2 linked regions of the Alligator mississippiensis genome follow. The protein of the gene in region 1 binds, or shares a complex with, the protein of each later gene. Links are inferred from orthologs where the notes say so. Each region holds a gene or a part of one and is shown on either strand. Other genes may lie near its edges.

Region 1 (10,402 bases):
CAAGGGCTTTAACTGGAACATACAGGTTCTGAGTCAGGCATTGCTTAAGAAAATATGAATTTCTTAATTAAAACCTTGCCAAAACCTTCTCTGTTGCTTATCAAAGTTTAAAACAAGGTGCATGAAGGGAAATTAAGTTACCTTAAAATAAGTCTTCCCCAGCCGGGCTCTTTCCCAGCAAGCCCTGCAGAAGAGCAGTACACGGACATATCACAATAACCAATCCTACTCTGACCTACTGAAAGACTGGAATTGCTGCCAAAACCGGTGGTTGATCCCACCCAACAACATATTTCTGTCCTCTTGCTAAAAACCAACAATGTGCTGATAGCATCTATGCCAAAACCAGGCTCAGATTGCAAACACTTTTGCACAAATTAACCTAGTATGTCTTATGCAACAAGCGTCTGCCTGGGAAAAAAAAATCTGTGAAAAAAAAACTTGGCCTGTTTCATCTGGAAAACAAGTTACAAGAACTAACTAGTTAATCCTCACGTTACCCACAAGATGATAATACTGCGGAGATGTACCCATCTGCATTTTATAGATGGGGAAATAGACACCAGAAATATTCAGTGAAATTCTCACGGCAACGTTAAAAAAAATCAATTTCCGAGATGAAACAAAATCAGAACCCAGCTGTTCTTTAGCTTCCAGTCCTATGGCCAGAGAACAGCTCAAACTGGACAAATAAAGGAAGCAGCATTTTTAGCACGGATTTATTTTTTGAAGTCACTGGAAATGGCACACATTTAGCTCTCAGGCTTGCAGGGGCGTTAGGCATTTAATCTGCTCCCCAGAAATGCAACTCTTTCCATATAATAGGCCCAGAAAAGCTACTCTCATCTCCTGGTTATATAGCCTTAAAAAATAAGCTAGAATTTTAGCCATGAGAAAGGTTAGCTTGTGATCCTGTGCACAACTGGAAGAGAGGCTGAATCAGTAGATACAACACATGCAGGAAACACCCCCCCCCCCCGAACAAACTCTGATACCTGTACTTTGAGGCCAGCGCAGTTCTTTCTTCAACAATTATGCCATAATAATTATCAAAGGACATCACTTAGACACAGGTGCTCATCGTTGCTTAGGAGAGGATGCAAGTTCCTGGATTTCTGCTAAATAAGACAGAGAAGGAGTTCATCAGCATGTAAGGACCACCAAGCACCGAAATACCAGCGGTAGCAAACCCCAGGCAGCGTGGTTCCAGCCAAGCAATCGGTTGCCTTTCCTGGTGGAAGCAGCAAGCATTACTCATCATTTTCCCAACAGCTGGTGCTGCATCATCCCCCCACCCCCTGCTTCACAGGCTGAGCTTTCAAGCTGGCTGCTTCTGTGTTCTTGTTTCCCACTTACTGATCAGCAATATTTAATGAATGTGGTTCTTAATATACCTTTTAAGATAAAAGCCTATTATCTTGCCAAGGGACTCAGCTCAGAGCAAAGATCACAGTGCTAAGCGCCAAGATTGGAAAGATCAACAACACAATTAACTGCTGGAGGCACCAGGGTTTTGGGGGGGAATCCTACATGTGCTGGAAATGCTCGGGTCCCGGGGCTTTCTTCTGGCAGCTCTGGAATCTCAAGAATTGAGGAAACCGGGGCTGCATCATACCTGTGCCAAGGTAGCGACCGCGCAGGGCTCCCAGGCTGGTTTTCAGAGTGGGGGTAACTGCTTTGTCACCCCAAGACCCTTCGCACCCGATGACACGGACACACCCTTCCCACGGGACAGTGGAGAATGCAAAAGCAACCCCTTGTCATCAAACTCCCCCGATCTGCACCTCCAGCGGAGACGACATCCTGACCCCACCCTTGTGCCTCATCCCCAAGTAGTAGCAAGCCCCCAAACCTCTGCAACCCCGCCGTGATGCCTCTCCTGCCTCCCCCCTTCAGGGAACGCGGCGCCGTCACACAGGGGGCCCCGTGGGCTGCACACCCTGGAGACCCTACCCCCTGCAGCATGCGGACCCCCCCCAAACAACCAGAGCAAGCCTCTGGGCCCCCTACCCCAGCGAGGTCAGTCCTGTCTGGAGTCACGCAGCCGCTCCAGAGACCCCGGCCTCCCCATCCCAGGCAGGGGGCGTCTCCCCACCGCCTCTCCCCCTGCGCCAGGCAGGGACGTGGCTTTGACAAGTCACCGACACCCTGTGCTTAATTGCGGGGTGCCTGGAGGAGCACGGCGGGCACCGAGAGCAGCTCCCTCCCCAGCCCCTCTGAAGCCGACCCCCAGGCTTGGCTGCCTGGCTGCTCCCTGGAGCCACAGGGCGGCTGGCCCTGGAAGGAGGGATGCCCCCCACCAGCTCCCTGGGTGGCCGGCTACGAAAGGCCGGGGCTTCGGTCCCTTGGCTAGGCCCCAGCGTGCCTGCTCCGCCTGGGGAAGGGGATGGGGAGGCCAGCACCGCGGCCAGGGAAGGGGCTCAGCCCCAGAAGCAGCATGGAGGGGCAGGGAGGGAGGCCAGTTACCTGCTGCCGGAGGGAGGAGGGAAGCCAGCGCCTAGGAGCTGCAGCTTGGCGGCATGGGAGGAGCCAGGGGCTGGGCCAGGGAGGGGAGAGAAGGACGAGCCAGGCCTGGAGGGGGAAGGAGGCAGTGGGCATGCAGAGGCAAAGGATGGGGGCCCTCCACGCCCCTGGCAGCGAGCTGCACAGGCGGTCCCCTGGGGCAGCTCCCATGGTGCATGCTGGGCTGAAGGGAGCTGGCCAGCTCCCTGGCCACGAGGTTTCCATACCCCTGCGTGGACTGCCAGGAGACACGGAAAGGCGCAGCAGAGCGGCCCAGGCTGGGTGGGGCGGTCCAGACAGGAGCCCCAGACCAGCGCTGGCTGCAGAGAGGATGGTCACCGCACGCATCGGAGCTGGACCCCACATGGGGCATTCACACCTTGGTCCCCACCGCTCAGATGTCCCCCCCAAATGGAGCCCAGGAGCAGGCTGGGTAGGACAGGGCATGGCTACGCGCAGGGCAGCACTGCACGCAGCGAGGAGCTGGGCGCAGAGCGCCGCAGAGCCTGCTGGCATCGACCCGACAGCGGAGAGCGTTGGCAAGGCAAGCACCTGACATACTGGCTCTGGGCTGATTAAGAAAGGATGGGGACGGACCGTGAAGGGAGGTTAACACGGCTGTAGTAAGTCACGGGGAACACTACAGATGGAGTTGACAGCATATTGTTTTACCAGAAGAAACGATCCTCAAACTAGCGAACTCCAGTCTAGGGGATGAGGCGCAGACCACGCAGGAACCAAGGGCACGTTCAGCACCCACGTGACAGCTCAGTCTAGTTACTCCTTTACTGCAAAGCAAAGATGCTCAGGCCATCCTGTACGCCTGTGGTCTAGAGCTAGCACAGCGCATCCCAACTTCCTGACTGGTGCCTCCAGCTACCACTGTAATGCAAATAATAACAGGAGGAGAAATATAGCTCCTTGCTTCTTCCAAAGGCTGGAGAATATATGCCGCATACTAGTGCCCGGGTACAGAATGCAAGTGCAGCAGTTTTGCAGCCTGGCTCCAGCCTTTGACAGGGCTGCAGAGATTTCCACGGCTTGGCAGCCCTTTTAGCAACTATTCTTTGTCCTTACACAGACCTCAGCTTTACTCTTCCTCCCTCTGGGCTGTTGTCGCTGTTCTGTGCTAAAAGCTATGCTCTCTCCAAGGTGTAAAAGGGCAGGCACAGGGGGAAGGCTATTGATCTTTGTTATGCACTAGACCATCCCAAAAAACCCCAACCCAAATCTGTTTCCCAAGCTCTTGGTTGATAGTTGCTTAAAATGTTGATAACATAATAATTAATCATACCTAGTATTTCTCATCCGCAGAGCGAACCATAAAGGCCCGTGGGCACCCATCTGGAGACATCTCATGTTGCAATGTCATTGCACAGGCCCGGATCCTTCACGTGTTTTCAAGAATCTACTTACACGAACCAGGGCATAACGGCACCCATGCACCAAAGCTGTACTGGGGGAGTTTCTATACATCTATATTGGGATCTCAGCCAATTGGTAGCCAAGATGACTAATTAGCAAAGTCCCCCATCCAGTGGCTAAATCTGCATCCTGCAACATTTACTGGCCCTGCAAAATCACATCTGATGCCAGGAGGTTGTTATACAAGCCGGAAGGGAAAAGAATCTGTCCAGCAATGCAAGCCACTCGTCCTTTGCAGATTATACAGGAAGTTCTCAGTGAGGAATATTTGTAAACACCTGCTCCTTGCTTCTTGTTGAAGTGCTCATAAGAAGCCAGCAGCATAATGCACACTTTTCCCCCCATTAGCTGTAATGCAAGATTGCCGACACAAATAACTTGTGATGTACAAATAAACACCACCAACTTCACAGCCTCAGAGCACTTGGGGACAAATGCAGGTTCCATCAGAGTCAATAGCAGAGCTCTTTTTGGCCTCAGTCAAGTCAGAAGTTGCTCCTTATTGAATATAGGACATTTGGGCTGAGAAAATAAAATCTTGAAAATGGGGTGATTTGGTAACAACCTAATGCTCTGTGCTGCTACTGCATCCTTCCCATAAGGCTCACAATTTTTTTTTTACTGACAGTAACTCCTGCGTGCGATAGGAATTATCCCTGATCTACAGATGCCGAAACCGAGTCAGAGAGAGGCTAACAGACGCGGCATAATTGCTACACCGCATCCCTTGGAAAATATTCTTCCACCCGGCAAACAACCCAGGGTGTTGCACACAAACACACCAAACACGGCAGCAGCTTCTCTGCAGGGCATCCACGGTGGGTTTGAAGTCACGTGATAAATGGGGGTGCAGAATTTGGTTTGTCGGCATTAACAAAATGTGATTTGGAAACGCTTATTCATTTAAGAGATGAATTTGGTTTGTCGGCATTAAAATGCAATTTGGAAACGCTTATTAAGAGAATCCGCGAGTAATTTTAAAAGAAAAGCCGACTCGCAGAATCACGCGAGCAAACAAAAGATCTGTGCTCGCGGGTGCTGGATTGCTCCCTGCAGCATGTTTGCTATTGGGTCCAATCCAGTTTAAACGCCTGGAGCAACGGGGCTCCTAGGGCAAGGCAGCAGGTCCCCGAGCCTCTGCTTCAACTCTTCTAAATCCTTTCACTTTTTCGGACAATTGTATTGTTATGGTTTTTTTATTACGTTTCGTAAAGGGTAACTGATGTAGCGTTTCATTGCAGGCCGTCCTCGACTTAAGACGTGTCGAGCTCCAACGACCCGGCGGCATTTACAAGGTTTATAAATTGACGCCCGTTTCGACTTCCTGACCTGTTTCGACTCGATCCGACGCCACGCCACGAACACAGTGGCTGCGTCGCCCGTCTCCCTGCACAACGCCTGCCCCAACCGCCTCGGACACTTTCTTTAAGAAAGCGGCCGAGACTCCAGCCAACAACAAGCCCAACCCAGAGCCCTTCCAAACGTCCAAAGTCACCCCAAAGAAGTGCTTCCCAATCAATATGATTGCTATTTACAATATAAATGCACAAATGCCGCGTGCGCCGGAGGCTGGGGGACACGACGGGCACGTGCAAGGGTGCACTGCCACGCTCGGGGGGGCACGTGCCCCCCCGCCACGTCACCAATGAATGCAGCTGCATTACTCATCTAGCACCAATGCGGGGTGACTTGTGGCTACCTTTGGGAGCCACCCCCCGTGGACAGCATCTTTTCCTAGGGGACAATCGGTTGCGAGGGACCACACGTGGACCCCCAGCAAGGGGCAGCGTCCACACGGACTCGGCCCGGGCCAGGGGAGACGCTGCCGGAGCAGACTGCGCAGCCCTTGCAGACGCGCCGGACAGGAGCCGAGAAACAGCGAGTCAGACCTGGGCGGAGTGGCGCAGCGCGCCACGAAGGGCACGCCCGCGGCTTCGGCACGCACCGCGTAGTCATCGCGCCCACTGCGTCATCGCAGCGCGCCGGAAGCGCAGGGCACCCGGGGAGCCGAGCCGCAGGCCCGGGCCGCGATGCCGGCGGGGCGGGTGTTCCGGCGGCGCGCGGACTCCGAGGAGGACGAGGAGGACCAGCATGTCACCGAGGAGGTCCGGTGGGTGCGGGGCGAGAGGAGGAGGGGCCGTGTGAGCGGACTGTGGCACTGTCCTTGCGGGGGTGCGGGCGCCAGACCCGCGTTCAGCCGAGCTGGGGGTTTGCCGCCAGCGCCGGCCTAGAGCTGCTTGCCTCCGCGTCGGCCTCGCTCGCTGGGACTCGCAGTGACCCGGATAAGTGAACAGGACGATTGACTCGCGTGCTTTCCCGGCGTGTGCTCCCAATGTGATCGTTTCAGATTTGGCAACGCTGGAGCCGCCTGTGTACGTGCTGGCGCACACGCAGAGCCCCCCTGTGTGTGCGCCACGGCACGGGCGGCTGGTGCCACCGTAGTTGGGGGGGCACGTGCCCCCCCAGCGACTAGTTAGCGACTGGGGTCCCCCCTGCTGCCGATTCCCCGTGTCCGATCTCGCTGACCAAGGGCGGGGGTCCTCCGCAGCCAATCTCGCTGATTGCACCGACCGGGAGGTGGCCGCGGCACTTCATCCAGCGCTCCCGCTGCCCGCCCGGCGCTCGCACCTGCCTCCCCGCCTGTCACCGAAGCGGGGAGCGCGGCCTGTCAGGGGTGCACGTGCACCTCTGTGCACCCACTGTGCCACGGGCTGAGCTGTATCCCAACAGCGTGAGCTATTTTCCATTTTTCCTCTGGAAAAGAGTCAATGGTGCACAGCTGCAATTGTTTTACAGAGAAAAAGCTGAGGGTAGAAGCGATGAGGGGCCGCGCGGGGGTCAGGGAGAGTTCCGTGGAGTTACAGGAAATGATGTTTCTCCAAAAGGAACAAGGACTTTCAGTCTGTCCCTCCCTCCCGTATCCTGTAAAGCCCCCATCACAATCCTAGAAACTTTAGTATCAAAATAAATACAACTTGTAGTATGGCACACGACAGAGGAGTGTGAGGGCTACACAGGGCAATAACCCCCCCTTTTCCAATGCTTGACGTGAGAGTGGTCTGTGCGCTGGGGAGTGGGCGCAGAGGAGCCCCAACCAGCTCACAAAGGTAACGTTTTTCCTTCAGGCTGAAGCTCGAGGAAGCGAAGGAAGTGCAGAGCCTGAGGAGGCGGCCCAATGGGGTGAGGTGAGTGTCTCAGCAAACACACGCCAGCTCATGTTGGGTCAGAGACTTCCTTGTGGCTGTGAGTTGGCCTCCCTGTCGTCCGTACTCCCCGGCGCTGAAGGACGTCGCTGTGGCCCCAAGAACTGGGCCTGGGAGAGGAGAAGGCCTCTTGACGGTCCAAAGACCTGTAAAAGTTGGTACTGGGCACAGCTGCAGTCGTATGTAAACCATGTTCATGAATACTGGTTCCCTGTAGAGCTGCAGCCCAAAACCATGAAGAGTTTGGGCCTACTTTAAAACTGAAAGACCTTAAAGTTAGTTAACGATGGGTGCATCTACTTGAGATGCTTAATGCGCATTGGACTAATTCTACTGCGCATTATCGCATCATGGAAAAAGTGTGCTAATGCAGAGTAGATTTAGTTTAATGCACATTAACATCACAAAAAATGTTCATCTGGGCTAATGCACAGTAGAGCTGAAAATGGTGCATTAAGTTAGTACCTGTCATTAGAGGTACTAAACTTAATGCACCGTAATTATGGTGTGTTAATGAATGTGTGGATTTGCCCTCCCCCATGATTCTTCTGGTCAGATTTCTCTCTCAGAGTTGTGTCATATCACCATATGTTATGATGTGTGGATCAGTTTCTCATGTCTTAAACATCACTTTGTAACACGTGTAATAGATTATAAACAGGGAATTGGAAAACTAGTCTTTAAAATGAGTCTCACTTGCTATCATCCATGTGATCTAAGGAAGGAGGCTTGTTAGGTTATGCCAGGGTACTGAGAATCAAGGTTTGCTCTGTGTTGAATTCTGTTCCTCACGCTGACTCGCTTTGTGACCTTTTATGTCAGTTAATCATGCTTTGCCTCAGTTTTTCTGTGTGGAAAATGGGGCTCAGAGCTCCCTAAATTGGATGGATGATATATGTTTTAAATATTGAATATCAGCAAAACAGTTTGAGACCTTCAAGTAGATGTTGGAAAATACTAAAAAAAATTAATGTGGTATTTATAATGAATGATAATGCAAGAGCAGGGTTTTTTCACTCAGTGAATCTTAGTTTTCTTTTTTGTGTGCTTTGCTAGTGCTGTGGCCTTGCTTGTAGGGGAGAAAATGCAAGAAGAGACAACATTGGTGGTAAGTTGTGAATATTTCTGTTACCTTACTGCTGATAAATACCTGTGGGAAAGCATCTACTTTGTACAATAGATCGTTTGGAAAACTTAGTTTTGGGTAGCAACTGGCCATCATAAAAGGCTAGTAGGATATAGCAGCCTAATGGAGGGAATTTTAGGCATTTTTACCAGATGCTCAGAGAAGAGGGTTTTCCAGAAAGTAACTTTGGGGCTGGTATAGATTAAGGGACATATTTCATGCCTTTGAATTGTTTCTGCTTTTTGTAGGATGACCCTTTTAAGATAAAGACAGGTGGGATGGTGGACATGAAAAAGCTGAAAGAACGAGGGAAAGACAGGTGAGTGTCTGAGAAGTCTGAAATGACTCTTCCTTTAATGCTAGAGAGTTGGCAGCACGCAGGACTCTTTCAGTATTGAAGAAGGAAGGTGAAGTGCTTCAAGCATTGTGCTTTGAAGAATTTAAATGAAGTCGTTTGTCGGGTTGCTTATAGTCAGTGAATTATTTAGTAACGTAATATTCTTGTTAATATTTAGGATTAATGAAGAGGAAGATCTCAACCTGGGAACCTCTTTCTCAGCAGAAACCAACAGGAGGGACGAAGATGCTGACATGTAGGCATTTGCTGTGTTTATATGTAGTGATTCACCATGAGGAATGAAGTGCCTTAAGGCTATTTTTTTCCCAGGAACTAAGTGTTTGTAGAATATTTTCCCGATTTACCATGAAGTTTCTTCTTGGGTTTTTTCCCCACCCTGGGGAAACCAGCCTGAGGAGGAATTAACTTGTAATTAAAGTCAACACTTGCTGGCCAACCATGTGGTCCACTGGCAGTGTGTACATTATGTACTAGGAGGAACCATCCCTATCAATTGGGGGGAAACAGCCTTGACATTGTAGGAAGAAACTGATTATCTTTTGAACAAAGTAACTGTTCTGATTTCCAGTACCTCCTTCTGGCTGAGGAGGATTTATCTGCATCTTCTTCCCAGCCAGTGACATAGTGACACAGCTGTGGCCAGAGGTAATGGACAGGAGCATGAGTAATAAATGTAAGTTGCAGCTGTCTCTCTGATTGCTGTGGCACAGGATGAAGTACATTGAGACTGAGCTGAAGAAGCGGAAGGGAATTGTGGAAAGCGAGGAGCAGAAAGTGAAGCTGAAGAATGCCGAGGACTCCCTGTACGAGCTGCCTGAGAACATCCGCGTTTCCTCAGCCAAGAAGACTGAAGAGATGCTGTCCAATCAAATGCTGAGTGGCATTCCTGAAGTGGATCTGGGCATCGAGTATGTAGTTCATACTTCTATTACTGACAGCCTGAATTTCCCGGGTGATTGGTGCACATTGGTTGGTTAGGGCCCTGTGGGAGGATGCATGCAGAACGTCAGCGTGTGCTCTTTGGGCAAGGATATCCACTTCGTTCTTTTTTGTACCCTGCCTGGCACAGTGGAGTCCTGAGCTATGACTAGACCTCCTAGGCAGTACCATAACACAGCTACTGATGATCAGAGACTTTGGTTTCTGGGTACGTCATAGAGCACCTTCCCATAAGATTAATTTGTGCCCAGCACTATGACAGGTGGATAGAATGGTCCTCTTCTGAAAAAAATCAAGTCTCCACTGCTTTTTCTCTGCAGCGCAAAAATAAAAAACATCATCTCGACTGAGGAGGCCAAGGCGAGGCTGTTGGCAGAGCAGCAAAACAAGAAGAAAGACAGTGAAACCTCCTTTGTTCCTACAAATATGGCTGTGAACTATGTCCAGCACAACAGATGTGAGTGTTGTATCGCTCCGGCTTGATATTTCCCAACCATCAGTAAAAACGAGTAGAACCTATTACTCGTGGCTTAACTTTCTACACCCATGCTCCCAGTTGACTGGGCTCTATTTATTGCTTGCTAGATTTCCCCTGTTAAGTGACATATTGAATCTATGAAAAAAAATTCCTGATCTTACTGTGGCAGCAAAGGGTGGCTTATAGTCTATAGAGACCTGCTGTAGGTCACTAAGCTGACAGATTGGTGAGATGGAAGCCACCCAGGAGAAGAGAATTAATTTCTTAGTTGCTCTTATACCACGACCAACTGGTACTAAAAGAAATGTGAACTCCTGTTGTATTTAACCATATCCAGGCGGCTGATTTCTTTGGAGAAGAACCAGAAAAAA
Region 2 (10,321 bases), on another chromosome or scaffold:
CCTCAGTTCATCCCTCCTGTGTTTCATCTCACCTGCGCTCCAATGCAGTGTGGGCTCTGCTCTATTTGGGGGTCTACTTGTGCCTTTGGGCATCCCTACCCACTGGAGAACTGGCACCAGCTAAAGGTCAGGGTGTTTGAGCGACTGCAGGCATGGGCAAGCCTGTTGCAGTATGTCTTCCTTTGTGGGAGGTGCTGGTCATCAATCTGCTGGTCCCATCCATGCTCTGGCACTGCTTCAGCACTGGCTATGCCTCCAGAACTCCTGGCCAGGCTCTAGACAGGTGCTACGATTCTGGCAGTTATGGCACTGGGTCTCTGCAGGTGTCGTGAGCCTCCCCTTGCAGGAGGGCAGGCAAGGCCTGGTCTGCCTCCACAACCAGGTATGCACCTTCCACCTTCAGGCCCTTCAAAGGCTCCTGTATGGTACCAGGAGCAAGGCAATATGGTGCCTGATCAGCTGCACCTTTCTCTGCTGCCTCAAAGGGTTCTGATATGACTAGCATCTCTTCTACCTATGAGATCTTCCAAAGTAGGACCTGGAGAGGTTGCTAGATTTCTACCAGGACCTCCCCAGGGCCTAGAGGTTGGTTTCTGTTACCAGGTCCCCAGAGATGGTCACCCAGGGTGCTAACCTCCTCACCAGGCCCCTGCAAAAAAACCACCCAGGTGGTGGTGTTGGTAAACATCACTCGTATTGGAGGGTTCCTGGACTATGCCAGAAAAAACCCACAGATTTTCCCTGAGAAAATGCAGATTTCTCATTTTAACAGAGAAATGCATAGATTTTCCACTGTTGCAAAGAGCTTTTTGCAGGTTGGCAGTTTCAGCATGCAAGAGGCTGGGGGGAGTGGGAGGAGGGTGGTCAGTGTAGTGAGCATGTTTGTTATTACCCTGAAATAGAATAGTTTTCTGATAGCAGCATACTGTTAGGTTAACAATAATTTGGATTATCAAGAAGTATTAGCTTTGCAGCTGAATACAAGGCATGACCTGTGGCCTAGCAATGCTGCTGACCACAAGGCAGAATAATAGCTAAGCCTTTGCTTGTGTCAAGTAATCATTTTAACGGTGTTAAGCATTTTCTGAGTAAAATGCAGCAAGTGGATCTGTGTCTGTGTGCTGGAAAATCAGCTACAGCAAGAAGCAAGATAAGACAAAGAAGCCATTGTTCTAAGTACAGTGATCGTGTCCTTAAGAAGTATCTACTACTGTGCAAGGTTTTGCTAACTTATCATAATGTTACTGTTACTTAACTTTTAGCTTTTAAAAAGTGCTAGTTCAGCTTAATAGAAATATGCTGTTACAAAGACTTATAAAGCACCGCCCAAGAATTGCTTTTGTTAACCCTGTAGTCTTGCCTTATTGTAAAAAAGTATAAAAGATCGCCTCACCCTTGAGGGGGGGCCATTTTGCCTTTTGCTGGCTTTGTGGTCTTTGCTGGAGCAAATAAATGACTGTCAGTTCTTTACCCGCATAGTCTGGTCTCTATTGCAGCTAGATAATGAACTTTAGGGAGTTTTCTCCCACCACATCAGGCAGGGGGCACCATGAGCATGTACATGCACATGGCCGCCAGGCAGCTTGGAGAGCAGCACCCTGCAGGTAGGTCTCATGGTGGGGTGGGGGGGAGGAGAATTGAGCAGGACTGGGGCTGGGGATGCTGCCCAACCAGGTGGGGCTTGGGGCCCAAGGCTACCATGCATAGTTGCAGGGCCCCAGCAAGGAGCAGGAGGCTCATCCAGGAGGCAGGGGGGTGGGGCTGGCTCCCTGCCACTGAGCACACTCTCAGGGAGATATGGGCATTAGGGATGTGCAAAGCTTTGGTTGCTGATTCAATTCAGAGATTTGGCCCAATTCAGCAGCCGAATCTCTGAATCCGAATCAAATCTAGAGACTTGTTAATCTCTCCAAATCGAATCAGAAGCCTCCAATTCAATTCAGAGAGATGTGGAGAAATTTGACGATTCGGCCCTAGACGCACGTTTTTTCTACATACCTCAAGGTACCAGGCGCAGTTCGTGAATGCTGAGATGGTGGGGCGGATGGAGCGTCCCATGGGAGCATGGGGGGGCGGGGGCGGTCTCCAATGTGCTCAGGGGCAGGCCCAGAAGTACTTCCAGTCCACTTCCTGGTCTGCTGCAGAGTTTATGGGGGAACCACCCCTCACCCCCCTGCTAGGCAACTGGTGCCTTCTGGGTCTGGGGGGGCACCTGGGGTCCCCCTGTGGCTAAGCCCAAGCCTACAGCTGTCCCCCACCCAAGGCTCCGTTCCGGCTGTGCCCCCTGGGCGAGAAGGGGAGCTGCACTCTGCTCCCTGCTTGGGCTGCAGCAGCCACCACCTCCCACAGGCATCAGCCAGGGCTTGGGCACTGCTGGGAGAGGCAGGGGACTGCAGATCCAGGTCCCTGACCCTATGGCCCTGGCAGTTGGAGGTCCCCTCTGGGAGGGTGGGGCAGGAGGGACTTGGACCCATGTTCTGGTGAGCAAACGGGGCAAGAGAAGCTCTGATTTTCTATGATAAAAAAACTCAAATCCAACTCCAAAATTTATAGGCATTTAGAATTTATTTTATTATAGTGATTGAGACACTGGTAGGCTTCCAAATTGCTTTAAAATTGTAAATATATCAATAAAACATTGTGTTCAACTGATACCTATATACATAGTGGAATTTCATTTTAATCACAGAATTTGTGATTTTTTTTTTATCAGAGAAAACCAGGATCCCTGGCCATGAAGTTGCTGCATCAGCAGGCCCCATGGCACTCCCTACCCCACTGTCTCAGCAAGCTGGGGGATTTCAAGCCAGTCTGCCTCTGAATGGCCCGCTGCCGCCAGCTGTGTACTCATGCTCTGCACAGTCCATCATCTCGTCCTTGTGTTCTGCCCCAACAACAAGTGGTGGGACATCCTAGGCAAGGCCAGGGAGGAGAGTCCCTGGTAGACAAGTCTCTATTCCATCTTGATCCCATGAGCCAAGAGGCCTCAGCTAGTGGCTTCTTCATGGAGCCGTCACCACAGGCATGTATCTGGTGTGCTTTACAGGCACTCCTAACACCTACCCCTTTTGCCGACAGAGGACCCTGATGCACGTCTACCTCAAGTGCATCAGGTTGCAGGCCCCCTTCTGTCTCCTCCAAAACCTCCTGCTGTAGTTCTGGCTGCACTTCTCCCTGTACCTTTTTTGTTGTGCACTTCCCATCCATGGCTCCACCAAGCCCCAAGATGTCCTGGTCAACCTCCTCCTGGCTCTAGCCAAACTGGCCATCTATAAAACCAAGAAAGAGGCACTGGCCAGGGGAACCCAGGCAAGTGTGGGGCTGTCTTCCTGTCACTCTTCTGGGCACAGTTTCACTGGTCAATGTCTCCAGGCTCCCTTGACTCATTCAGGGGGCAGTGGCTGCTGGCCTGTGTACTTTGCTCAGTGTCCCCTTCCAGATCCCTTATTATTAATCTACTAGCTAATTGCCTGTCAAGAGTGACGGATGAATTTCTAACAAAAAGAAACATTTTACTTTTTATGTTTATTAAATAAATTAAATATTTATAAAATTTAAATAAAGTAGGCTGAACATTTGAAGATACCAATCCCTTCCTGCACTTACTTTCATCCAGCGTGCTGGAGGTGCACCTGCCCATGCTGCCACCTGGCTGCCGTCTGTGCACCTCTTTGCTGGGCAAGGGCAAGAGCAAGGGCAAGGGCAGGCGAGCTTCACGCCTCGCAACAGCTGCCCATGCCCCAGGACTTCCTCTGCGCCACCCGCAGGAGCCTCCTTCCCAGCTCAGGGCTTGGGACAAGGCTGCCACTGCTCGCCCACTGCCTCGCACCCCTGCCCAGCTCCCGCTTTTCCTGAGCAGAGAGTGGATGCTGAATGGGAAAGTGAACTGGGTAGGATCAAAGTTTTTTCCCACCGTTCCTTTAAGCGAATCTCTAATCCAGGAGTGGCCATTCCCTGTAATCCTGACTTCATTAAGAGCTTCTGATGGGTCCAGGTCTCCCTGAATCCTAACCCTAGCCTCCAGAGTAGCAGGAGCACTTGAGGGTAGAGCTAGGATTCAGAAAGACCTAGACAAATTGGAGGACTGAACCAAAAGCAATCTCATGAGTTTCACTAAGGACAAGTGTGAAGTCTTGCACTTAAGACAGAACAATGCCTTGCACTGGTATGGGCTGGCCAAGCAGCAGCTCAGCAGGAAAGGACCTAGGGGTTGCAGTGGACAATAAGCTGAATATGAGCTCTTGTTGTGAAATGCTTGTTGCAAAGAACAACAACAGTATATTAGGCTGCATTGGTAGGAGCATTGCCAGATCCAGGGAAATGATTATTCCCCTCTATTCAGCATTAGTTTAGGCCACATCTGGAGTAGTATGTCCAGTTTTGTCCCCCAACCTCCCAACAGAAAGCATTTAGGACAAATCTGAAAGCCTAGCAAAGGGCAACAAAGATGGCTATAGGGCTGGTGACCACAACTTGAGAGGCTGAGAGAACTGGGCTTATTTAGTGTGGAGAAAATAAGATGCAAGGATTTAATAGCAGCCTTCAGCTACCTGCAGGGCGGGTCCAAAGAGGATGGAGCTGGACTGTTCTCAGTGGTGGCAGATGACAGAACAAGGAGCAATGGGCTCAAGTTGCAGCAAGGGAAGTTTAGGTTAGATATTAGGGAAAACTTTCTCACTGGCACAGTAGTAAAGCACAAAAACAGGTTACCCACAGAGGCTGTGAAATCTCCATCCTTGCAGGTTTTTAAAACCCAGCAATTCAAAGCCAGTGGCTGGGATGATCTAGCTGGGGCTGGTCCTGCTCCAAGCAGGGGTTGGACGAGATGTGGCCTCCTGAGTGTGTGGGCTGGGGGCGAGCTGGGCCCGTCTTTGCGCACGCGGGCTGTGGCCAGCAGCCTGGGCACACGGGGCCGGAGGAGACCGGAGGCGAGCTAGAATTAGTCACGGACGCGTAGTGGTTGATTTAAAGATTATTTACTTACACCCAAGATGGTTGCGGTGTAGGCTGGACAGTTTCCAGGTGCAGCTCCGCTTAAATCCTTGTTGGAGGACTACGACAAATTCATTCTAGCCCCGGAGTTGTTAAAGCTCCGCGGGTTCGGTAATTTCTCTCCCACGGAGTTGTCGAAGCTCCGTGGGTTCGGTTCGGTTCTCTTGCCCCGGAGTTGTTGAAGTTCCGCGGGTTCGTATCTTTAATATGCAGGAAGGGATACGTCTAAGAATTTATCGGCGACGGGGAGAGGATAGAGGCTGTTCAGGCCTCTGTTGCTCTCCATTGCACCGGGGTTCTCTTCTGCAGCAGAAAACTCCACCGTGCAAGGAAGCTGCAATTTAGCGGGAAAAATAATTTAGCAGTGCCGAAGCACACACAAACAAAAAATCACAACTTTGGGTTGTGACACTGAGGTCCCTCGCAACTGTCATTTTCTGAGATTCAATGACCTTGTCAAAGGCTTTTCACAAGTCCAGAGTTAGTCAGCTTGAACGCTGCAACCCACCCGCTTACGGCACCCCCAAAGACCGTGGCACAGGGGCAGGTGGAGGTGCAGACCTGGCAGCGAAGGCATTTTGCTTGGCTTTTGGGGGCACAGTGGGGAAGCGGCCAGGGCTGCGCTGCCACAACAGAGGCCGGGCCCCTCGCGGCTCCCCTGCCCGCAACGTCTCACGGGCCCAGCCTGCAGGTTGTTTTCGGCACTGCTGTAGCAGGCAGGGGAGGCGCGTCCCGTTCACCCACGTGCTGAGCGGCTCGGCCTTCTCGTACTGCTCCTACCACTTCCCGCCCCCCCTCCGCGCCGGCCTCCGAACGCGCAGCCTCTTCGAATCCCCCGCGCGCCACTGGTGTGACGCGCCGTGACGTAACGTGGCAGACTTCCCCCGCCCCTTCGCGCGGCGCCCGCGCATGCGCACTACCCCCTCCACCCAGCCGTGCTCTCGCTCTGACGTGTCGCACGATGCATCCTGGGATGGCGCCCGGCGGCGGCGGTCCGCCTGTTTCCCATCCTGCCCTGGCGCGCTGAATGGGGCAGACGCAAGATGGCTGCGAACGCGAACTCGGGTGGCGGCGGCGGCGGGTCGCTGTTCGAGTGCCCGAGCTGGTGAGCGCCGCGCCGCGCCGCGCCGCGCCGGGCGGAGCCGGGGGCGGTTTCGTGCGGGGCGGGCGGGCCGGGCCGGGCCGGCGGTGCGGGGCCTGCGCCCGCTCCCAGCTCCCTCGGCTGCAGCTGCAGGCCGGGAGGAAGGTGGACTCCGCCTCCCCGGGCCCGGCGCAGCGAGGAGCAGCCCAGTTTGAGATGACCAGAAGCGCTGCTGTCCAGTACGGCGGCCACCAGGGAGCGGGCCGGGGCCGAGGCTGCTCCTTGAGGAGGGCTCGGTGCCTGCAGCTGTGGTGGTTTTCCTCCACGGGACCCTGCCTCATTCAGCGGCCGGTTGATGGTAGTTTCTGAACCACTGTTTACTTGACCGTTCCCCCCCGCGCCCCTCATTGTATGTGCTTTATAATCCTGCACCCCCTTTACACCCTGCGCCAGATAAAAACTTCGGTAATTTACTCCTGGGGTTTTCTCTGATCTTCGTCCTCATTGTTTTTGAAGGTCTGGAGCACATTTGTAGGTGCCCCTCAGCGTTTTATTGGTGATTCTCCACCTGTGAAACAGTTAGGTAGCACAAAGAGATTGAGGCTAAATTATGAATTGCTGGCTCCTTTGGGTGCTCATTTGGAGGTATTTCAAATTTTTTTTCTTGAGCGCAAACATTTTGAGTATATTTTTGTGAGTACAGACCTGGTGATCTTGCAAGGCCCCTTCCAGCCGTAATGTCTATGACATTTTTGTAGCAGTTAACAGTCAGAAGGAAAAGCCTCTGTGCAATTGAGACCGGTGTGATCAAGTCTGCAAACAAGAGGTTGGACGTCCAGTTCCACGTGCAGCCTCCTTTCTGGCAGTCACTAAGCTCTGTACTTGCCTCTGCAGTTTGAATGTTCTTTATTTCTTTTTTTAAGTAAAAAGAAAATCTCTTAGATGATACTGACTCCCACATGAATCATCAGCAGGGCTGGGAGCTTGACGCTACAGACTTCTACAACATGGTGAAGTAGCTGGTAGCTGTAGCAACCTGTTACCTTCCGGATGCTAAATGGAGCTCTCATATTTTGTCAGTGAGATTCACAGCTATTTTCCAGGCAGAAAAATACTGAAGCTCCAGATCCTTGGTTCATTTCAATGTTCTGGAGAGGGTTATGCATTTTTTTCTATGAATGTCCTTGCTCTGCTCACCTTTGCTTATGCTCTCTTTCTAGCCTATACCCAACCCAGGAGCATAACTAGGGGTGGGCAAGTGGGACCCAAACCCTGGGCCCTGACAGAGAGGTCATGTCAGAATGTAACAGGAGCAGGAGCAACAATGGACACCTCCCTCACTGCTTTCTGGTAGGGTTTTGTTCGGGGTGGAAAACTTTCATGCTGCAGACAGGGACATGCAGGCTGCAGATCACGGCTCTGCCCCGGGTCCTTGCAGCAGTGGCAGTGTGGTCTGGAGCAGGGGCAGAGCCATGATCTGCTGCCTGCACACCACTGTCCGGACTGTGCGTGCTGCAGATTGCAGCTCTGCCCTGGCCCCTGACCAAGCTGCTTCTGCCGCAAGATCCCACTGGCTCTGGAGCAACCCCTGCCCTGCTGCGCTCCCTGCCAGCATGGCTGGGGCTGGTCTTCATGGCAACCCCTGCCTTGTACTATCATGGCTGGGGTCTCCATGGAGCATGGTTTCCCAGCCATGCAGGCAGGAGCTGCTGGGAAATGGAGTCCAGTTGTTAGCCAGCTCCATCATTTTGCCCACCCCACCCCACTAGCTATGCCTAGACCATCTCCAACCAGTGGTTATCCAACCTCTTCTTGAACACCTCCAATGATAGAGAGTCCACAGCTTCCCTCGGCAGTCTATTCCAGTGTTTCCGAACCTTTTCTAGCCCAAGGCACACTTACATTAATAAACGTTTTCTGCAGCACACCTGTTAAGGCGTTCTCCATCCTCATACCTATTGTAGCTCATTACCATGGCAAAATTCCACGGCATACCTGTTCATTTCTGACTACACACTTTTCATAGATTTCATAGACATTCGGGCTGGAAGGGACCCCGGAGGATCATCGAGTCTAGCCCCCTGCCAGGGGCAGGAAGTCAGCAGGGATCATAGGATCCCAGCAAGGTAAACATCCAAATGTGTCTTGAAGGTGTTCATAGTGGATGCTTGAACCACCCCCGGCGGCAGTCGATTCCAAACCTTGGGGGCTCAGACAGTAAAGAAGTTCTTCCTTATGTCCAGCCTGACTCGGTCGCAGAGGAGTTTGTGACCATTCGATCTTGTCATCTTTTGGGGTGCTCTGGTGAACAGACATTCCCCCAGAACCTGGTGGACACCCCTGATAAACTTATAGGTGGCCGTCAGATCACCCCTGAGCCTGCACTTTTCCAGGCTGAAGAGTCCCATGGCTCTCAGCCTCTCATCATAAGGTCTGTTTTCCTGACCTCTGATCATGCGCGTGGCTCTCCTCTGCACTCTCTCAAGGTTCTCCACATCCTTTTTGAATTGTGGAGCCCAAAACTGGATGCAGTACTCCAGCTGTGGCCTCACCAAGGCCAAGTACAATAGGAGAATGATATCCTGGGATTTGCTTGAGAAGCATCTATGGATGCAAGCAGCATTTTGCTTGCTTTACTAGCTGCAGCACACTGGTTGGGAAACCGTGGTCTATTCCACTGCCCCAGTATTCTAACAGTGAAGAAGTTTTTTCTAGCTATCCAATCTAAACTAATTTTGCTGCAACTGCAGGCCGTTGGTATACCTCATGCTGCAGCAAGAGAGAAAAAGTGTTCTCCCTCCTCTTAATTGCAGCCCTTCAAGTATTTGAAGACCACTATCATGTCCCATCCTTTTTTGCAAGTTGGACATGCTTAAATCCTTCAGCCTCTCATCATATGATTTGCTTTCCAAGCCCTTTATCATCTTTCTTACCTGCCTGTGGACCCTTTCCAACTTCTCCATGTCCTGTTAAAATGTGGAGCCCAGAACTGCAAACAGTACTCTAGGTGAGTCCTAACCAATGCAGAGTAGAGAGTCACCATCACCTCCCCCATCTTGCACCTAATTCTTCTGTGGATACATCCCAAAACCACATTTGCTTTTTGTGCAGCTGTGTCTGTAATCTACCAAGACTCCCAGATCCTTTTCCATAGTGTTGCCATTCAGCCAGGTGTCACCTATTTTGTATTTGTGTTTTTGATTATTCTTCCTGAGGTCTAGTACCTTGCACTTGTCAGCATTGAACTTTATTCTGTTAGCTTCAGCCCAGCTTTTCAATTTCTTGAGATCCTTCTGAATTGCCCTCACAACCTTCCATGTTCACAGTCCTTCTCAGTTTCATGTAGTTCACAAATCTCAAAAAGCTTTATATGCAAGTATCCAGATAATTAATAAATACATTGAACAGCATCTGGCCCAGACTAGACTCCCTGTGAGATTCCACTCAAAGCCTCCTGCTATTCTGACATGGACCTGTTAATTTTGTGGCCTTTGAACCAGTTTTCTGTCCACCTTATAGCAGTTTTGTCTAGTAGCCCACATTTCTTCAATTTGTTTACAAGAAGCTTGTGGGGGGACCTTGTCAAGAGCCTTCTGAAGTCCGGATATACTATATCCAGAGTATTCCGTTCATCCACCCAAGTAGTTACTTTTCCAAAGGAGTTTAAGTTTTTTATAAATCCATGTTGGCTACTTGCAATCAGCCTTTCCTCCTCCAGATGCTTTCCAGTGAACTTCCTTAGGATATGCTCCAATAATTTCCCAGCTATTAAGGTGAGGCTAATCTCAGGTCCTCCCTTTTTTGTTGTTTCTTTTTCCTTATTTTTTTTTTCTTAAGAGGGGCACTACATTGGTCCTTTTTCAGTGCTCTGGTACCTCACCCATCTTCCACAACTTCATGAAGATCATTGCATTGCCAAGGACTGTGAGAGTGCCTCTGCCAGTTCCTTCAGTACCCTGGGATGAAGTTCATCTGGCCCTGCTGACTTCAATTCATTCAGACCCATCAAAAGCTCTCTGACAGTCTCTTATATTATCTCCTCCCTCAACTGGCCCCCTTCTTTATCCAGATAATCCTTATTAGGTGCCTTGCTGTAGCTTAATTTTTTTGTGAAGACTGAGGCAAAATAGCTGTTATGTAGCTCTGCCTTCTTTGTATCTTCTGTTAAGAGTTCCCCTGGGTAGTTAACAGTGGATCCATAGTGTCCTATGTGCCCCTAACTTTGATATGGAGCATACTTGGTTTGAC

What was found. The genes of interacting proteins can lie anywhere in the genome.
Region 2: C12H9orf78 (region 1) and PPP1R8 share a complex: the UniProt entries of both Homo sapiens proteins name them as parts of the spliceosome. The link is inferred for Alligator mississippiensis from reciprocal best matches to the Homo sapiens genes C9orf78 and PPP1R8.

What each region holds. Positions count from the first base shown.
Region 1 is NC_081835.1:58,724,357-58,734,758, reverse strand, and holds the start of C12H9orf78 (splicing factor C9orf78 homolog), read left to right. Parts: upstream 1-5,896; 5' UTR 5,897-5,957; coding exon 5,958-6,037; intron 6,038-7,052; coding exon 7,053-7,112; intron 7,113-8,186; coding exon 8,187-8,238; intron 8,239-8,504; coding exon 8,505-8,575; intron 8,576-8,771; coding exon 8,772-8,849; intron 8,850-9,324; coding exon 9,325-9,522; intron 9,523-9,873; coding exon 9,874-10,010; intron 10,011-10,402. UniProt on the Homo sapiens protein: Plays a role in pre-mRNA splicing by promoting usage of the upstream 3'-splice site at alternative NAGNAG splice sites; these are sites featuring alternative acceptor motifs separated by only a few nucleotides. May also modulate exon inclusion events.
Region 2 is NC_081829.1:16,742,696-16,753,016, forward strand, and holds the start of PPP1R8 (nuclear inhibitor of protein phosphatase 1), read left to right. Parts: upstream 1-5,928; 5' UTR 5,929-6,035; coding exon 6,036-6,097; intron 6,098-10,321. UniProt on the Homo sapiens protein: Inhibitor subunit of the major nuclear protein phosphatase-1 (PP-1). It has RNA-binding activity but does not cleave RNA and may target PP-1 to RNA-associated substrates. May also be involved in pre-mRNA splicing.